Arabidopsis thaliana: one gene and its partners. The protein of the gene in region 3 interacts with the protein of the main gene of each other region in a pairwise test. Each region holds a gene or a part of one and is shown on either strand. Other genes may lie near its edges.

Region 1 (6,006 bases), on a different chromosome or scaffold from region 3:
TTTTATTGGGAAAGAGATAGGAAAGTGAAGAAGAAGATACCCAAGAGACAAGAGATTTCTCTATTCTCTCTCTCTTTATCTTCTCTCGCATCGCCGCCCTTCATAGATTAAACACACTCACCTACCAAAGTTGCATACCAGCCGTTAGATTACTCATAAGTGTATTCCACCGTCGGATTTAACTACTTTTTAAAGAGTCAACCTCAATAAGAATCTTGTTCCCAAAGATAAGGGTTTGTGTTGAGTTTAAGACCGGTTTAATCTGAAAACTCCGTCAAACCAAAACCAAACCGATTTATCATAAAAAAATTCATATCATCTACTTCCATTGGCTAGAGACAGATTGTAACGGTGTCGTCGTCGCCAAACGATTTGCCTCTTCCTAAAGGTAGGTTCTTCATTTCTCTCAGTGCCCCTTTGCGTGTTTCAGCTTCTTCTTTATGATCTAATTCATGTCTATGTTTCGTTTGATTCTTTGTTCAATTCTGAATTGAGAAAATGGCGATTCGAGATCTGTCTCTTCGGTTTTTTAGTTCGACTGATTTGGGAATGTGAAGAGATCAGATTGATTTGTTGACAGAGTCTTGGGGGTTTTCAATCTTATTCCTCTAGATTTTCGAAATTCGATTCCTTTACATCAGATTTCGCTTAATTCTCTGTCCTAGTGAGTTTTACGATCTTTAGTCTTCTGGTTTGTCAAATTCTATGTCTTTTCATGTTCTTCTGAGTTTTAATGGTTGATCTTCAATTACTTGGCCACAATCTCTAGAGTTTGAGACTCTTGACTTGTCTTGCATATATTCCTCTGTAGATTGGTTTTATGTTTGGTTTCAATTCCTTGTTGAACTATTCTGATACGGAAGTTTTCCTTTCTAAGGTTTGGTGTTTCCTTTTTCTGATAAATAGTGATGAAGATCGATTATGATGATCATGTAAGAATATAATCTAGCTTTGGTGTTTGTATTGGTTTACCTGAGGGAAGAAAAGTCTTTCTCTTTGGGACTTTAAACTTTGATTACTTAACTCCAACATTATCATAGTTGGGTTCTGTAGTTCATTTCACTTATAGCAGTAATAACTCATTGATTGATGCAATCAATCAATCCTGTGATGGAAATGGAATCATGGAAATTGAGGGATTCAGGGAGGATTGATTGATTAGAATTTCATATTTATGAGAGAATAAGAGAACTGATGTGTGTTTCTTTTCCTACTTCTTAAAGTTGTGCTCTTTCCTATTTCTATAAGCTCTTGTGGATAACAACAGTTGATTAACGTTCTTATGCTTGTTTAGGGTACAACAAGAATGGAAGAAGAGTATGAGAGTCGTCGATTGAGGAGATGGGAAGAGTTGGACACTGACATCTTAGTAAGAATTTTCCAGAAGTTTAGCGTCTTTGAGTTGACTTCGGGATTAGCTCATGTTTGTAGAGGATGGAGAGCTGCTTGTTGCGATCCGATTCTTTGGAAGACGGTGGATTTGTCAAACATGAGATCTAGTTTCATCAAGATCCCATTAGAGCCTTATGTCTATGTGGAACGCCGATCTGATGAGGCCCTAACCCGCATCCTGAAACTCTCCATGAACCTTAGCGGAGGAAGCACGAGGACCTTGATTTTTCATTTCAACTTGTTCTTGAGTGATGATCAGCTTACTTACACCGCAGAAAGGTATGTCCTTTTCGTTCTTCCACTTATTTGTCTTCCAAATTGTTTCATCATGGCCGTAAACTATGGTTTTTTAGTCAAAAGTTGGTTCAGTTTTTGGTTTGGTTAAGTTCATGTACCCACTTTCAGTCAAAATTGCTGAATTACAATTAAGCTGAATCTCGCAAATGCTAAAAGTTGAAAAATTTGTTGTACTGAATATTTTGCAGGTGTCCAGGGTTGAGACGGGTCGTCCTACCGGCTTGGAACAGAATAAAGAAGACTGGTATATGCAAAGCGATAAGAATCTGGAAAGATCTAGAGTCACTAACAATGCCAAGCATCGCAAACCCGCCTTATCTCTTAACAGAAATTGCCAAGAACTGCAAGAATTTTAAAGAGCTGAAGATCATGGGTCCATTCGAGGTCTTCTTTGCAAACACGCTCATCACTTGCCTCCCAAACATCAAAACACTCAGCATCAGATGCTCGGCGATAAAGCGGGAAGCACTGATGAAAATCCTTGACGGATTACCAAGCCTTGAAGTGCTCAACATATCACACTCTCACCTAGTGGAGTACAGCGGTTGGCAGCCTCAGCAGAAGGTGATTGTTAGAGAGCTCGATAAGACGATAATGGAGAAAACAGCAAGGCTAAAGAAATTCTTGACTTGCATGGATCACAAGACGTGTGTGATGTGTCAGAGGACTGAAAACGATGAAGGGATTGTGAGATGGTACAAGTATGAGGAAGGAGACTGGAAGGTTGATGAAGTGAGTTCTCTTCATCTTTGATGTTTCTGCTGTGATCATTCTCTGTGAAGGACTTAACTTGTTATTGTTCTCATCTTTGACTGTTGAATTGTTTATTTCTTTGTGTTGTTTGTTTTGATTTGAATCGTATTATGTGTATATATCTGTAGGCTATGCCAATGAATGTCTGTAGTGATCAACTTTTGATCACCACCAACCTTGCACACCAAATAGGAAAATAAAACAATATTGTTACAATTATTTGTCTTGATATTAGCATTATTAGTCACATTTGTTTTGCAAATCATCTACCTTTTTTTTTTGGTCTATATCTTATTCTTCTTAGTTCTTACCTACCAGTCTTCTCCGGCGGCATTAACGACACCGTTTTATCGAGCTCAGCCACCACTAGTTAGGTAACGATATATATTCTTAAAAACGTTTAGAAAATTTCTATGTATGTTTCACACGAACAAAAAGAAAATATTTTTCAGACATCAACGGTCATTATGGACGACGACTGTTAAACAAAATCGTTTAAAATTCTTGTTGCGTAATTTGACCATTTTATTTTATTTTATACCAAAAATTGAAGATATTATATATATGTTTTAATTCGATCGCAAATAAATCTGAAAATTAAAACACAAAACGTTACTCTTCTCTCTCATTCTCTTTCGCTTCTCGATAGCTTCTCAAATCATGGTTCAGCAAATATGGGAGACGTTGAAGGAAACAATCACAGCTTACACTGGACTTTCTCCAGCTGCGTTTTTCACCGTACTTGCTCTCGCTTTCGCCGTTTACCAAGTCGTCTCCGGTTTCTTCGTTTCTCCTGAAGTTCACCGACCTCGTTCTTTGGAGGTTCAGCCTCAATCGGAGCCTCTTCCACCGCCGGTTCAGCTCGGAGAAATCACTGAGGAGGAGCTTAAGCTTTATGATGGCTCCGATTCTAAAAAGCCCCTTCTTATGGCGATCAAGGGCCAGATCTATGATGTTTCTCAGAGCAGGTATTTCTTGTGAAATCTTTACTTGTTCATTAAATTATGATTGAATCCAAATGATCACTAGTTAAATTACCAGTAATAAACGATTCAACCCAATAGTTTCGAGATTTGGGGTTTAGGTTAGTTAATCATGGTTGACTGTTTGATTTATAATCCGAAGTTTCCAATTACTATCTATCTTATGATTCTAGTATATCTACTGATGCTCGAACTCTAGTTTAAGTGATTCTTTATTGTAAAACTGAACACTTTTAGTAAATCTTTTTGATGAATATTCTCTCCTTTTTGTTCATAATCTTATGATGCTCTTTTTATTGCTTTTTGCATCTTAGTGTTTGTTTTTTCACTTCTTTTCTTGGAACAATACCATTAGAAGCACTGATACAATTGTATTGTATTCAAGTTATCGGAAAGATCTCTACTTTTTCTTATACTAGAAAAACCTGTATTTAGATTACATCTTGGATTAGTAGAGATTGATAACGTACAAACTCGTCAAAGGTTTGGCTTCTAATATTGCTATTGTGGCGAAAGAGATCGTTCACTGATTAATTATCCACATTTGCTTGCTATTTGTGTTCCATGACGTTTGTAAATTAAGTTTTGGCGAACATTGTTGGTATGTAACCATGCTGCAGTTGTCTAGATCCCTGACTTGTCAACTAGACAGTTCTTTTACATTCCAGTTACCGAAAACTTCGTTGTGGTAATTAGGTTTTGTGCTAGATGAAATAATCACTTCAGTGATCATACCGTTTTGCTTGTTCATAGTGGCGACAGACACAGACACACTCATCAACGCATATACATGTCGATGTATATGTATGCATAACTTTTAGTTTTTTTCTTGTACATAGTTCATCAGCTGTACTACATATCTAGATGAATCATATTCATATGTGCCAAGCTGTAGTTTTTCATTCTTCAAACTCTACTTAACTCTTACTGGTCGCTAATTTGCATGACCATCTGTTCTTTTTATGCAGGATGTTTTATGGACCAGGTGGGCCATATGCTCTGTTTGCAGGGAAAGATGCAAGCCGAGCTCTGGCAAAGATGTCATTTGAGGACCAAGACTTGACTGGAGACATCTCAGGTCTCGGTGCATTTGAGCTAGAGGCGTTACAAGACTGGGAGTACAAGTTCATGAGCAAGTATGTCAAAGTCGGAACCATTCAAAAGAAGGATGGAGAAGGCAAAGAAAGTTCAGAACCTTCCGAAGCAAAGACTGCCTCTGCGGAAGGTCTTTCTACAAACACTGGAGAAGAAGCTTCAGCAATTACCCATGATGAAACTTCTAGAAGCACAGGCGAGAAAATCGCGGAAACCACGGAGAAGAAAGATGTTGCAACTGATGATGATGATGCTGCAAAGGAGTAAAGTCAATGTAATGAGAGGCACAGTTTCTCTTGAGAAATTAGTGAGATTTTTCAGGGTTTAAGTATGAGTCGTATATAGCTCAATAAAAATGGTGACCTTGTGTGTACTTTTTGGATCTTGTATAATGACATCTAATTCTGGTTATGGAAGCTTCAAAATACATTATTTCTACAGTATTAATCGATAAACAGTTCTATAATTCAGGGTTTGTTCACTTGTTGTTTATGCTTAGTTCATATTTGACATCCTGCTATGTGCCTGGTAATTGAAGATGGTTCAATTCCTAAAATCGAAGCACCAACTTACATTTGATGGTAGGTCTGTTGCCGAACCGAAGTGAAGAATTTGCAATAATTTTGGTTTCGGTTTGGAACCTTCAAACCGACCGGTTTCGAATTATTATTGAACCAAATTTTCAAAATTCAAATATCTTGTCAAATCATTTTCTTCCCTCTTTCTGTCTCTGTCTCTCTCTCTCGCTCGATCTCGAAGGTGAAGCTATGGGAGTGAAGTATCTTTGGGATGTCTTGGAGCCTTGTAAGAAGACTTTCCCACTCGATCATCTTCAGTGAGTTGTTTCTTCGTCTCAATTTCTCTTTAATTTTTCTGGGTGTTTAAAAAGACCAAGTCTTTACGAGATCTTCGTAATCGCTGTAGAAACAAAAGGGTATGCGTGGATCTTTCGTGTTGGATGGTGGAATTGCATAAAGTGAACAAATCTTATTGCGCCACTAAAGAAAAAGTTTATCTTCGAGGATTTTTTCATCGTCTCCGAGCCCTAATTGCCCTAAACTGCTCCATCATTTTAGTCTCAGGTAATTTAATTCTACCCTACTGTTGAAAATTGCCATCAGAAGAGCCAATTAGGGTTTATGTAGTGTTGTATTGTTGTCATTGTGAATTGATTTGAGTAATAGAAGCATGAGTGGTCAAATCAGTTCTTATTTATTGATGCTTTGCTCTAAAGTTTAGTTTTTTCAATGCTATTGAGCATACTTGACTTGTTGGAATGTGGCATGTAATTGTAGATGGTGCAATTCCTGGAATCAAAGTACCAACTTACAAGCGTCGGTTAAAAGCAAGATTCGAGGTACAATGATGTCAAATGTGGCACTTGTGGTTTCATCCTTGCATATGATGGCTAGTTTTTGGATTGTTTTTTTCGATTTCGTGCTATATTGGTTCAGCCAGATCGCTGACGATGGTGTTGAGCCTAGCA
Region 2 (7,584 bases), on a different chromosome or scaffold from region 3:
ACTTTTTGTACTTATTATTTTGATCGACACATCAAGACAAAAAATCGAGCAGGAGATCGACACTATGATGGTGGTAATCAAGAAGATACACATGAGTTTGATGGAGTTCCAGATATATTTTCTCAGGCAGGAAGAGACAGTGGGAAAGAAAGTGAGATATGGCTCCAAGATAAAGATTACCATATCGCACATAGATATATTTTGCGGAACTGCGATCAATTAAGACCATTTGAAAGGTATGACAAAATAATTTGGACATCTGTATGGATTTTGTTTTTTTTTGTAGAATTAGTAAAAGACATTGTAAATATTTTTCATGGTTATATATGTATATATAGGTTGTTTGATGAGAGCTTGATCGCGGCTAATCCTGGGATAAGTGAAAAAGATCTAAATGAGCTTAGAGAAAAGCAATATTCAAGCTGGTTAAAAAAATATGTAAGATATTTTTTTTTTATATGAGATAAATACTTGATAGCTTATAATATAGTATGTGTCTTTTTATATTGAATCAGGTGGAGGATACTTGGAAGGATAATTCATATCCAGAGTGGTTGTTGAGTATTGTTCATGGTCCAATGGTTAAAGTTACTTGTTGGCCAATGTATTTTTGTCGTGGATACATATTTCATACATATGATCATGGAAAGAACAAAAAGAATGCCAATTATGGAGTTTGTGTCAAAGGTACAACATCTTCTAGCTCAAATGAAGAAGCTGATTTCTATGGAATATTGAGAGAAATTTATGAGCTTCATTATCCTGGACATGTTGATCTCAAGGTCGTGGTCTTCAAGTGTGATTGGTATGATTCAAAAGTTGGGAGAGGTATACGAAGAAACAAGTCAGGGATTATTGATATTAATGCTAAAAGGCATTATGAAGAGTATGATCCTTTTGTTTTGGCTTCACAAGCAGATCAGGTATGTTATGTTCCATATCCACGGATGACTCAGCCGAGAAAAGATCAACAATGGGAAGCAGCAATTATGATACAACCGAGAGGGAAAGTATTGATAACAAAAATCTGGATTTCACTGCAATGCAGCATGATAACGATGATTCTATTGTTGAAGTTGATTCATTACAAATCGAGACACTATCATATCTAGATGCCCAACCAGAAGATCTTGATGATCCAGTAGTAGAAGCCGAAGATGGATCAGATGCTGAAGATGGAAATTCTGATATCGAATTAACTAGTGACGAATCCGAATAATTTTTTTTTTCATTTGGACTTTTTACAGCTTTTTTTGTATTATCAAAAACATTGTTTCCAAAACTGAAGAAGTTTTTTTATTTAATTTTTTGTTCACAAGTTTTTATTTTTGTATTAAAATTGGTAACACTTATGTCACAATCTATGACCAAACGCAAAAGTCACTAAAACAGTGACAAATTGTGTCATCGTTGTTACAAAATTCTCGTAACTATACATGACATAAATTCAGTCACAATTATCGTATAATTTAGTTACTATATTTGGTCGCAAATCCGTACTTATATTTATGACTATATAATTTGTAACAAATTTGACATAATTAGTGACAAACATTAGTTACATTCAATTAAGTCATAATATTATAACGAAATAGTAACGTTTTTATGACCAAATAAATACGTCACAATTTTGTATGAAAATGGTCACAATTTTCTGACGAAAATAATGACCGTAATTTTTTCGTAAGAATATCGATTTCTGACCAGACGCTCTTCAATATCCGTTAGTAGTTGTGACACTTGAATGTGGTTTTGGACATGTCACCAGAAACTTGTCTTCAAGTGGTCTAACTGGAACCATGGCTGCTGCGATTCAAAATCTTACGCAACTAGAAACTCTGTAAGTAAGCTTGAATAATATACATACCGTTGCGTTTAAAAAAGCTACTCTCCAGCGACCGTGTTTCCAGCACTCCAAATTCATTATTTTCTGTTTAATGGGCTGATAAAACCCATGTTTGGCCCATAACAATTATTTCTGTTATTATAGCAACGTTGAAAAATATACATACCGTTGCGTTTAAAACGCTACTCTCCAGCACTCCAAATCGCCAATCGCGTTCTCAAACAGTGCTAATCGCCGATGAAGAGGTCTCATTGTCATCGCCGTCCTTCTCACGACGGGAGATTTCGCTGCCGTATATGGCCGATTTATCTCCGGAGATTCCTCACATTCGTCCTCCTCCTCACAAAAGTTATTGGGCCGGCTCAAAGAGATGGAATCAAAATTCTCTCAGTTTCATGGCCGGAAGGTAATTTCTCAGTTTATGATGTAACTGAAAATCCTTTAAAAATTTGAACTTTATGATTTTAGATATCTGATAATGGCGTCTTTGTCTTGAAATTTGTTTCTTCATGTTGACCCACTTCTCTTTAGATAATAGTCATTGTTGATAAATGTGAATCCTCTGCTTTGTGATTAGAAGCTGTTCTTGTCGATGAAGACGTCAAAATGTGTATTAATTAGTGATAAATTATCCGATATGATTCAATCAAAGTCACTGACCACTAGAAAGTCAAATCTCTTGCTTTCTCTCTGTGTGAACATTTTTTAATGCGTTAAAAGAGTGGTGACTGTAAAACCCTCTATTGACATATTCTCTTAAAAACACAGAAGTTGCATATTATTTTTTCTAAATACAAGTTGCATATATTCTGACATTCTTGGGACAAATCAAATTTGTAATTGTAAAGTTGCAATAGAAAACACATTTACTCATTCGTTTCACTGACTCAGGACATCTTGCCATGTTGCCAGAGGCTTGGACTGTTTCTTGGGTTTATCTATTTATACGCTGTGTTTCTCTCAAACTCTGGCATTGGTAAGGTTTTGATATCTAAAAGCAATTATGGATAGTCCTTGTTGGCTTTTGCTGCTGCTATTAGGAGCTTTTGCCATTATTGGTTGTGTTCAAGCTCAGGATCAACAAGGTACCTAAATCTTAATGGTTTATATGTATATTACACTACTACTTCTTACTGATTCGAGTCTTAGTTATGTTTGTATCTGAGATGCTTTTGATTTTTCACTCTCTTAACAGAGTTTATCAGTTTGGATTGCGGGTTACCCATGACTGAACCGTCTTCTTATACTGAGTCAGTAACCGGACTACGGTTCTCGTCTGATGCTGAATTCATCCAGACTGGTGAAAGTGGTAAAATCCAGGCGAGTATGGAGAATGACTACCTTAAGCCGTACACGAGGCTGAGGTATTTTCCAGAGGAGAGAAGGAACTGCTATAGTTTGAGTGTTGACAAGAACAGGAAATATTTGATCAGGGCTAGGTTCATTTATGGGAATTACGATGGTCGTAACTCTAACCCGATATTTGAACTGCATCTAGGACCTAATCTGTGGGCAACTATAGATTTGCAAAAGTTTGTGAATGGTACAATGGAGGAGATCCTTCACACTCCAACATCAAACTCTTTGAACGTTTGTCTTGTTAAGACAGGGACAACTACACCCTTGATCTCAGCCTTGGAATTACGGCCATTAGGAAATAATTCTTATCTCACAGATGGTTCTTTGAATCTTTTCGTTCGGATATATCTCAACAAGACAGATGGCTTTCTTCGGTAAGTGTTTTTTTTTTGGTTAACAGTGATGGATTCTATATTCCTATACTCTTTATTTTTAACATTCCTATACTTATTCAAGGATAATACAACCTTTGTTCCACATAGGTACCCGGATGATATTTATGATCGCAGATGGCATAATTACTTTATGGTGGATGATTGGACCCAAATTTTCACCACTCTCGAAGTGACCAATGATAACAATTATGAACCACCAAAAAAGGCTCTTGCAGCGGCTGCCACGCCTTCTAATGCCAGCGCGCCATTGACAATCAGTTGGCCACCAGACAATCCTGGTGACCAATATTACTTGTACAGCCACTTCTCTGAGATACAAGATTTACAGACCAATGATACCAGAGAATTTGACATATTATGGGATGGAGCTGTTGTTGAAGAAGGTTTCATCCCTCCAAAGTTAGGGGTGACTACTATCCATAATCTTTCTCCAGTGACATGCAAAGGAGAAAATTGCATTTACCAGCTAATAAAAACCTCGAGGTCAACTCTTCCTTCTCTACTTAACGCTCTTGAAATCTACACAGTTATCCAATTTCCACGGTCGGAAACAAATGAAAATGATGGTATGTTACTTATCTTCATTGTTATGCAGATACAGTCTGTTTTTTTTTTTTAACTAGAGAAATCAACTTCACCTGCTAATTCTCACATCCTTGAGCTCTACATCAGTGGTTGCTGTTAAAAATATCGAAGCTGCCTATAAATTGAGTAGAATCAGGTGGCAAGGAGATCCTTGCGTCCCTCAAAAGTATGCGTGGGATGGTTTGAACTGTAGCAACAACACAGATGTTTCTAAACCTCCAAGAGTATTATCCTTGTAAGTCGTAAGATCCAAGATATGAACATGCACACTTTGACACTTATCTTCAAAATAAGTTAACTATCATGCTTTGGAATCACCAGAAATTTGTCTTCGAGCGGTTTAACTGGAATCATTGCGGCCGCAATTCAAAACCTTACACATTTAGAAAAACTGTAAGTATGGCCATAGTTAATATTGGTTTTGTTGATGGAGGAAAACCTAATGAGCTCTACTTTATTTTGGAAATAAACTTTTAGGGACTTGTCAAATAACACACTAACTGGAGTGGTGCCGGAATTTCTAGCCCAGATGAAATCGTTGGTGATCATGTAAGTTGCTCAGCATATTTTCGTTTACTTTCAGTTCTCCTTTGGTTCATGTGTCTGTATGCATGAAGATTGCTCTTCTTTAATAGAAACTTAAGCGGCAACAATCTTAGTGGTCCCCTTCCTCAAGGTCTTCGAAGAGAGGGACTAGAATTACTGTAAGAAACTTCCCACGTACTTTTTAATATTCCACAGTTATTTTCCACAGCCCTTTTGTGATTTGATGTTTTTAACAACACTCTTTTTCTTGCAGAGTTCAAGGCAACCCAAGGCTTTGTCTCTCTGGTTCCTGCACAGAAAAAAACTCGAAGAAGAAATTCCCGGTGGTGATTGTTGCATCAGTTGCTTCTGTGGCCATAATTGTTGCTGTGTTGGTTATTATTTTTGTTCTCAGTAAGAAAAAGTCATCTACTGTGGGAGGTAATTTGCAGGAGATCTCTCATCAAATCAAGAAACTGCAACAAATCGATGAATTCTTACATACCCTACTTTTTTTCTTTCTTATCTATAGCTCTACAACCTCCACTGAGTATGCCAATGGTTCATGATAATTCACCTGAACCATCAATCGAGACGAAAAAGAGAAGGTTTACTTATTCAGAGGTTATCAAAATGACGAATAATTTTCAAAGAGTTGTAGGGGAAGGAGGATTCGGTGTTGTTTGTCATGGTACTATAAATGGTTCTGAACAGGTGGCTGTTAAAGTTCTCTCTCAATCATCAAGTCAAGGATATAAGCATTTTAAGGCAGAGGTATGCATAATCTTCTTAAAAATATGACCATCTAACGCTTTCTCTTACTTTTATTTCCCATGAATGATTAGGTTGATCTTCTTCTACGAGTTCACCATACAAATTTGGTGAGTCTTGTTGGATATTGCGATGAAAGAGATCACTTGGCTCTCATCTATGAGTTTTTGCCCAAGGGAGACTTAAGACAACATCTATCTGGTAAACTTGAATTTCTTCATGATTCGAAAGTGTATATATGTTTCAACGTTCCCAAGGATCTAAAGAATCAAGTATTCAGGAAAAAGCGGTGGGTCCTTTATCAACTGGGGTAATCGTCTACGAATAGCTCTGGAGGCTGCACTAGGTTCGTAAGCTTATTAGCCAATATTGGCAGCTTAAAATGACTTTCCTTCTGGTGGACTAACAAATAATCATTCCTTTGAATAGGATTGGAATATCTACATTCTGGATGCACACCACCAATTGTACATAGAGATATAAAAACGACAAACATATTGCTGGACGAACAGTTAAAGGCCAAGCTTGCCGATTTCGGCCTTTCGAGATCTTTCCCTATTGGAGGTGAAACACATATTTCAACTGTGGTTGCTGGTACTCCTGGATACCTTGATCCTGAGTAAGTGTCGTTAGTTACCATTACAATGTGCTGAAAGTGAGTTGTCATTTTGCACTTTATATATTGGTTAGAGAGTATAACCATGTACTTTTGCCGTGCAGATATTACCAGACAACTCGACTGGGTGAGAAGAGCGATGTGTACAGCTTCGGAATTGTGTTATTGGAGATTATCACAAACCAACCTGTGATTGACCAGTCCCGTTCAAAGTCTCACATATCACAATGGGTTGGATTTGAGCTTACCCGAGGAGATATTACTAAGATCATGGATCCAAACCTGAACGGGGATTACGAATCTCGTTCTGTATGGAGAGTTCTTGAACTGGCAATGTCGTGTGCGAATCCTTCTTCTGTGAACCGACCAAACATGTCCCAAGTTGCTAATGAACTGAAAGAATGTCTTGTTTCTGAAAACTTGAGGGAAAATATGAATATGGACTCTCAGAATTCTCTTAAAGTGAGCATGAGCTTTGACACAGAGTTGTTTCCGAGGGCAAGGTAGTATGTGCTGCAGGTAACACAACCATGCTAATTAGTTGGGCTATTGGTCATGTTTGCTTTGATCATCCACATGCCAAGATCATATACCCTGTTACTTGGTGATGTTTTCATTATTTTATGTGTGCTTAGTGATGTTTTCATTCTTTGTATGTGTGGCTTGGATGCTAATAATCATTGACCGTAAAAGAGTATACCTCTTTGTGGTTCCATCATTAACAAACAAATGATTTTGGTTAAATATTTGTAAAATGGTTGGAAGAGTATTGATTTAAAACTGTCAAATAGTATATAAAATTAAAGAAACAGATTATGGATTGTGATTTCTCAACATACATTTATCTGTACTCTGAAATTATTAGGCTCACCATTCACTTAAGGCTATGTCAAATATAATTGATGTGATAGTTTATTGCTTAACGTGCTTCTGGGTCTGCTCCATATCTTCCATGATTGAGTTCATGATAGTGATGTTGGGACTTTGCTGTCCTCTTTTTCTTATTCATTTTGTTGAATAGAAAATGCATTTACTCATTTCTTTTGGCTTGGCAAAGTCTTTCTTTCGGCTTTTACATTTTCTTCCTAGCCAAATGGTTTTCTTGATTTTTCCTTGGAAGGTTAGAGAAGATGATTATATGAAGAATTCTCTTGGCCTTTTGTTCCTGCTAGTCTCCATCATTCATATTGTTCGAGCTCAAGACCAACAAGGTATCAGAAACCTTTTTTTTCCCTTTTAAACACATTCTTTTACAAACTTTTTGGTTCTCAGAAGTGCATTGTTTTAAAGAATAATCTTTATAAATGTCTGCCAACAGGATTCATCAGTTTGGATTGCGGACTCCCTGCGAATGAACTGTCTCCTTATGAAGAGAGTTTCACTGGACTGCGGTTCTCTTCGGATGAAAAGTTCATACGTAGTGGAAAAAACGGTCGAATCCGAGAAAATCCTCAGGGATACGCTAAGCCGTACGCTGAGATATTTTC
Region 3 (4,596 bases):
TCCAACTCTACGAAGACAATCGTTCCATGTCTGTTTGTTTCTTGGAATAGATGCAATATTTTTATATTCATACGATGAGAAGAAGATTTTAATCAATCCAAGATGACAATCTTTGCCAATCTTCAATATATCACGACAACATTTATCTGTCACTAAAGTTGTTGCATCCAGCACGTTCTGGAAAATCTCACCTCCGCATATGGAGCTCGGCTTTTCAACGCAAGCCTCTAGAAAATCATACTGTTTTTGCGAGTAATGGGGAAGCTTCATGTCATATTCCATTGCGGGTGAATTAGCTTCTTCGAATGGAGTTGGAGATATGGCTACATCTTCATGTATCTCCTGGGAGAAAATTGGACAAGCCATGTAAAACATTACAATGGATACAAGCATGACCATGAGAAGAGACTTTGCCATATTTACTTTTGGTTTTGGATGTAAGATTGCTGATATAAAAAAAAAACAAGAGATGTTATATAGGACAATCAGTAAGGATATTTAATTAATAAATTGTTTATTTATTAATAGTTTATGTTACTGACTTCATAAACTTCTTCATTTACTAGTTTTGTTTAGAAGACGTTTGCAGTAGAGACTATAGACTTATAAACTTCTCTACAAGTCATAACTTACAATGTGTGAAAACTCTTTTTTTCTTAATGTTTTTACAAATCAAAGTGATACATTAGATACAACATAATTACACGATTATACAAAAAAATGAAAGAAAGAATTGTAATGAGGACAACCGCATGGAGACTTTCAATCCGAAATACAGCGAGTAATATTCTTGGGAAGTATATGATCCTTAGACGGTAATTACAACGAGTGTTTTTTGTAATTTGAATATTTTTGGGGAGAGTAAAGATTCAAGGACGGGATAGATCAGATTTGTTTATTGACCCTTATAACCTCAAATATTTATACACATTCTTATCTTTTACTGGTTTTAAAACCATACGGGGTTAAGAAAATAGAAGTCTTTAATTTAGAAAAAGATTTTAAAAAAAAACAGTATAGATCTTCTGTTACAGAGGGTCTAGCAAGAGACATTTAAATACTCTTTATTTATTTCTATATTTTAAATAATTAAACTAAATAAATATATTATTATTAAATTTTAAAAACACATTTATCGGTAGTTAACCGATGGTGATGCTCTAAAAATCCAAAAATCAAAAGGCCATAGTTATATGTTTTTGTTGTAGAATTTGAACAAAAAAACTAAGACAAAAAAACGTGTCATCATTGAGATGGCGTTTGAAATAAAAGACCCATAAACAAAATTAACCTAGTTTAGTAACTATTACCAAAAGGAAATCAAATCGTCGTCGTTTGCTTTTTACTTTTACCAATAGTTATTTCGCTTTTGTTTAACAAACTATCTACTTATTTTGCATTATAGATACAGATCTATTATATTTTATTGACACCGTATAAAAAAGACTTATTTTTTATATTTTGCATAAAATCGAGATACTTATAAAAATGCACCGCATATTTTGTTGGAATTGAAAATTTTACCCTAGAAATCTATTTCAAAAATCATTATCCCCTTGCATTACGTCTCGGTAAAGTTCATTTTCACTGCGCATGTTTCTCTATTTGGTAGCAAATATAATTAGATAATTGTGTAGATAGAAACAAATTAGGTTTGGGATTTATTCAGGAAGTTTCTTCTACAATATTGTGATAAAATAAGATTGTATTGGGTACCATTTGAAGGTTCCTTCAAGTTAAGCACATGCAAGTTCAAAAGAGTCAGTCATGTCTCTCTTTTTCATTTTCTCGTTTTCTCCTTTTTTTTTGTTCTTGCCTAATTCTTATTAAAAACCTTTCCTAATTTTTTTTTAATGAACCAAGCCTAGTTTGAAACCCGTTAACTCTATACATCTTTACTAAATTCTCCAAAGAAAGACATGATCAAAAAGACAAATCTATACATATTCACTAATACCCAGAGAAAGAAAATTGAGATGTCGTATTTATTGATATTCCGAAACAATAACATGAGATGTCGTATTTATTGATCGGAAGAAAATTTAAACTCCCATTAGTAACGAACGCAAGAAATAAAACCAAAACTAAAAAATTACAAAAACCAAACAATAACATGAGATGTATAAATCATATATAATCTAAACCAAAAACTACAATTTGAAAAAAGGAAAGCTATCTATCCATCATTTCTTCCGATCATCATCATGGAGGTGAACACTCGACTGACTCGAGAAGAACATCCATTCCAAGATTCATCTGCATGGTTTCTACGGTACCTTGACCACCAAGGCGACTGGCTTGAAAAAACTAGGGGAAACCTGGTCGTTGCTGCAACAGTCATAGCTGCAATGAGCTTTGGGGTAATGGTGAACCCTCCAGGCGGTGTTTGGCAGAGTGAAGATTGTTCCTCCAAAGGCCAAACTACTTTTCAAACCAGAACTTGTGAGGGGAAGCTTGGGACTTCGATACTAGAGCACAATCCTTCAAAGCGTATCTTCTATCTTGGCATGGTCATTAGCAATTTGGTATCGTTTTCCGCCTCAATGGGTATCATTTTCCTCGTCATCATTGGCTTCCGATTCAGGTACTAGATCCATTCATAAACCATAATTATATAATGTGTTTTCTTCTTAAACATTTCCTTGCAAATAGTCGAAATAAATAGTGAGACCTGTTTACTAATTAGTGAACTAATATTATATCTATCTGACTATCTGTAGGAACCGGTTAATAATGACGATCATGGTCATGTTTATGGTGGTGGCGGTTCTATGTATATCGGCAGCCTTCTTCTTTGCTGCGGGGTTGGTTCAACACGAGGATGATTTCATCGAGAAGATTCTTCAAATTTATTTGGGATTTTGGGTTTTGCTTCCTGTTTTAGTAATCCTGATCCAATTAGTGCGGTTTTTATGGTGGGTTATTAGGTTCATATGTTGTGGTTGTGGACGTCGACCACGGTCTACTCCACGGTTGCTGCCTTTGGCTCTGCCACCTGTCCGTTGACGAAGAGGAGGACCCATGGCTCGAACCGACGTGTTAAATGGAAATACTGTCAGCAATGTGATAAGTAGAATAAAGCTCTCCCATGTTGATCATTTTAAAAAGATTTCTATTGTATGTGTGATCTTATTGTTTACGGAGTCGTCACTAGCTCTCAATGGGCCTAATGTAAGACTTTAAAATGTGTCCCTCATTTACTGAAAAATATCTTATACTAGAAACCATCTAAATAAATGTGAATTCCTTATAAACATAACTTAGTTCTATGAAAAAACTATAGATATAATCATATAAATCATTTTATTTGAAGATAGACAAAATACGACATACTAGGTCAGTACATTTATAAAATCAACTAAAATATCATCTATTGCTGTTTTATAAATATCTTTCTTATCAGTATTTTATTTTATTTTGTTGATTTAAATTTATCTGATCGAACAGAGCCACGTTATAAATTTATTATAAATATAAATTATATAATCCATTAAAAGTTATGTAAAGTAAATATAAACAAATTTTATGATAATAATAATTATAAAAAAAACAATCGAAAGAAATTTAGGTAGCCACATTACGGGTTGTGGACTAAAGAGGTGGAAGTTTTGTTCTCGTGACACATAAGGAAAGGGTGTGTTGTAAATACAGACACTTACTCAATGTATGACACTTAAACCTATCATGCATAATTCGATTAGGTTAAATATTAGCTACTTAATAACATAGGCAAATAGCCAAATACAACCAAACTAAATACCGATGACATTTATCATAAATTATTACGCGGCAAAAACTAAAAGAATAAGGAATAGATTAAAAACAGGAATAACAACTTAAAATTATATAAAAATACAAAGTCAAATTGTATCTATGCGGCTACAAAATGAGCATATATAGGAAATAGGACAGAGTTCTAATTGAAAGAAAGAAGTGATTTAACCAAAAGTTCACCGATCAGTGGATTGGCCTAACCAATCGGTGGCTCAAGCATTTTTTCACTAGGTACTAAACTCTAGCAAACGGGCCTCTTGATGGATCCTCTCTTTTTCTAATGCTTTTTGACCCAATTCCTCTTTGTTATGCTCACTTTTGCTTTACAGGTCCATATTCCTAAAAAGACTTAATTAAACCTATAAAACAAACGAAATAAAACTATAAATTGTGTAAATATATCACTTAACAAATGCTATTAGAGGGTTACAGGCTGGAGAACAGAGTATGTAATATTGTGTTTAGCTACAAGATTTCGAAGACCGCGTGATACACCACCCGTTATTATATGTAATTCAAGACACTTTCACACTTTTTTGGGGTAATTGAAGAACGATACAATTTGACTTGTGTTGAAGTGAAGAAGAAAGTTGCATTGAATCTTATAAACATGACAAGGATGGTGTCATTGACATCAAGATACAAAGGTAACGAAAATAATTTGATGAAGGAAGATACTGAGTTGTTTCAGGAAATTGAAGCCGTTGAAGATGAAGACCAGGACTGATGAAGACAATGATGATGAGAATCTACCTTTGATTATTGTGACGATTCTGATGGAACAGATTCTGATGACGGGAATTTTAGCTTGTACGGGTTTCC

Evidence for each region. The genes of interacting proteins can lie anywhere in the genome.
Region 1: the proteins of AT4G13266 (region 3) and MAPR3 interact in a protein complementation assay, tested with the Arabidopsis thaliana proteins (one large-scale study listed by BioGRID).
Region 2: the proteins of AT4G13266 (region 3) and AT5G59650 interact in a protein complementation assay, tested with the Arabidopsis thaliana proteins (one large-scale study listed by BioGRID).

The regions. Positions count from the first base shown.
Region 1 is NC_003074.8:18,126,567-18,132,572, forward strand, and holds MAPR3 (membrane-associated progesterone binding protein 3), read left to right. Parts: upstream 1-2,885; 5' UTR 2,886-3,102; coding exon 3,103-3,410; intron 3,411-4,393; coding exon 4,394-4,787; 3' UTR 4,788-5,026; downstream 5,027-6,006. Other genes in the region: AT3G48880 (RNI-like superfamily protein), read left to right, coding at 1,307-1,671, 1,878-2,442; AT3G48900 (single-stranded DNA endonuclease family protein), read left to right, coding at 5,288-5,355, 5,445-5,602, 5,816-5,877, 5,979-6,006.
Region 2 is NC_003076.8:24,028,497-24,036,080, forward strand, and holds AT5G59650 (Leucine-rich repeat protein kinase family protein), read left to right. Parts: upstream 1-2,849; coding exon 2,850-2,931; intron 2,932-3,041; coding exon 3,042-3,579; intron 3,580-3,687; coding exon 3,688-4,143; coding exon of another isoform or gene 4,144-4,166; intron 4,167-4,225; coding exon 4,226-4,420; intron 4,421-4,506; coding exon 4,507-4,578; intron 4,579-4,662; coding exon 4,663-4,734; intron 4,735-4,820; coding exon 4,821-4,889; intron 4,890-4,984; coding exon 4,985-5,151; intron 5,152-5,242; coding exon 5,243-5,484; intron 5,485-5,555; coding exon 5,556-5,682; intron 5,683-5,761; coding exon 5,762-5,827; intron 5,828-5,910; coding exon 5,911-6,100; intron 6,101-6,201; coding exon 6,202-6,604; downstream 6,605-7,584. Other genes in the region: AT5G59660 (Leucine-rich repeat protein kinase family protein), read left to right, coding at 7,191-7,308, 7,416-7,566. UniProt on the Arabidopsis thaliana protein: Required for accurate photosynthesis.
Region 3 is NC_003075.7:7,704,419-7,709,014, reverse strand, and holds AT4G13266 (ankyrin repeat protein), read left to right. Parts: upstream 1-2,121; 5' UTR 2,122-2,204; coding exon 2,205-2,584; intron 2,585-2,720; coding exon 2,721-3,006; 3' UTR 3,007-3,254; downstream 3,255-4,596. Other genes in the region: AT4G13261 (ECA1 gametogenesis family protein (DUF784)), read right to left, coding at 1-417.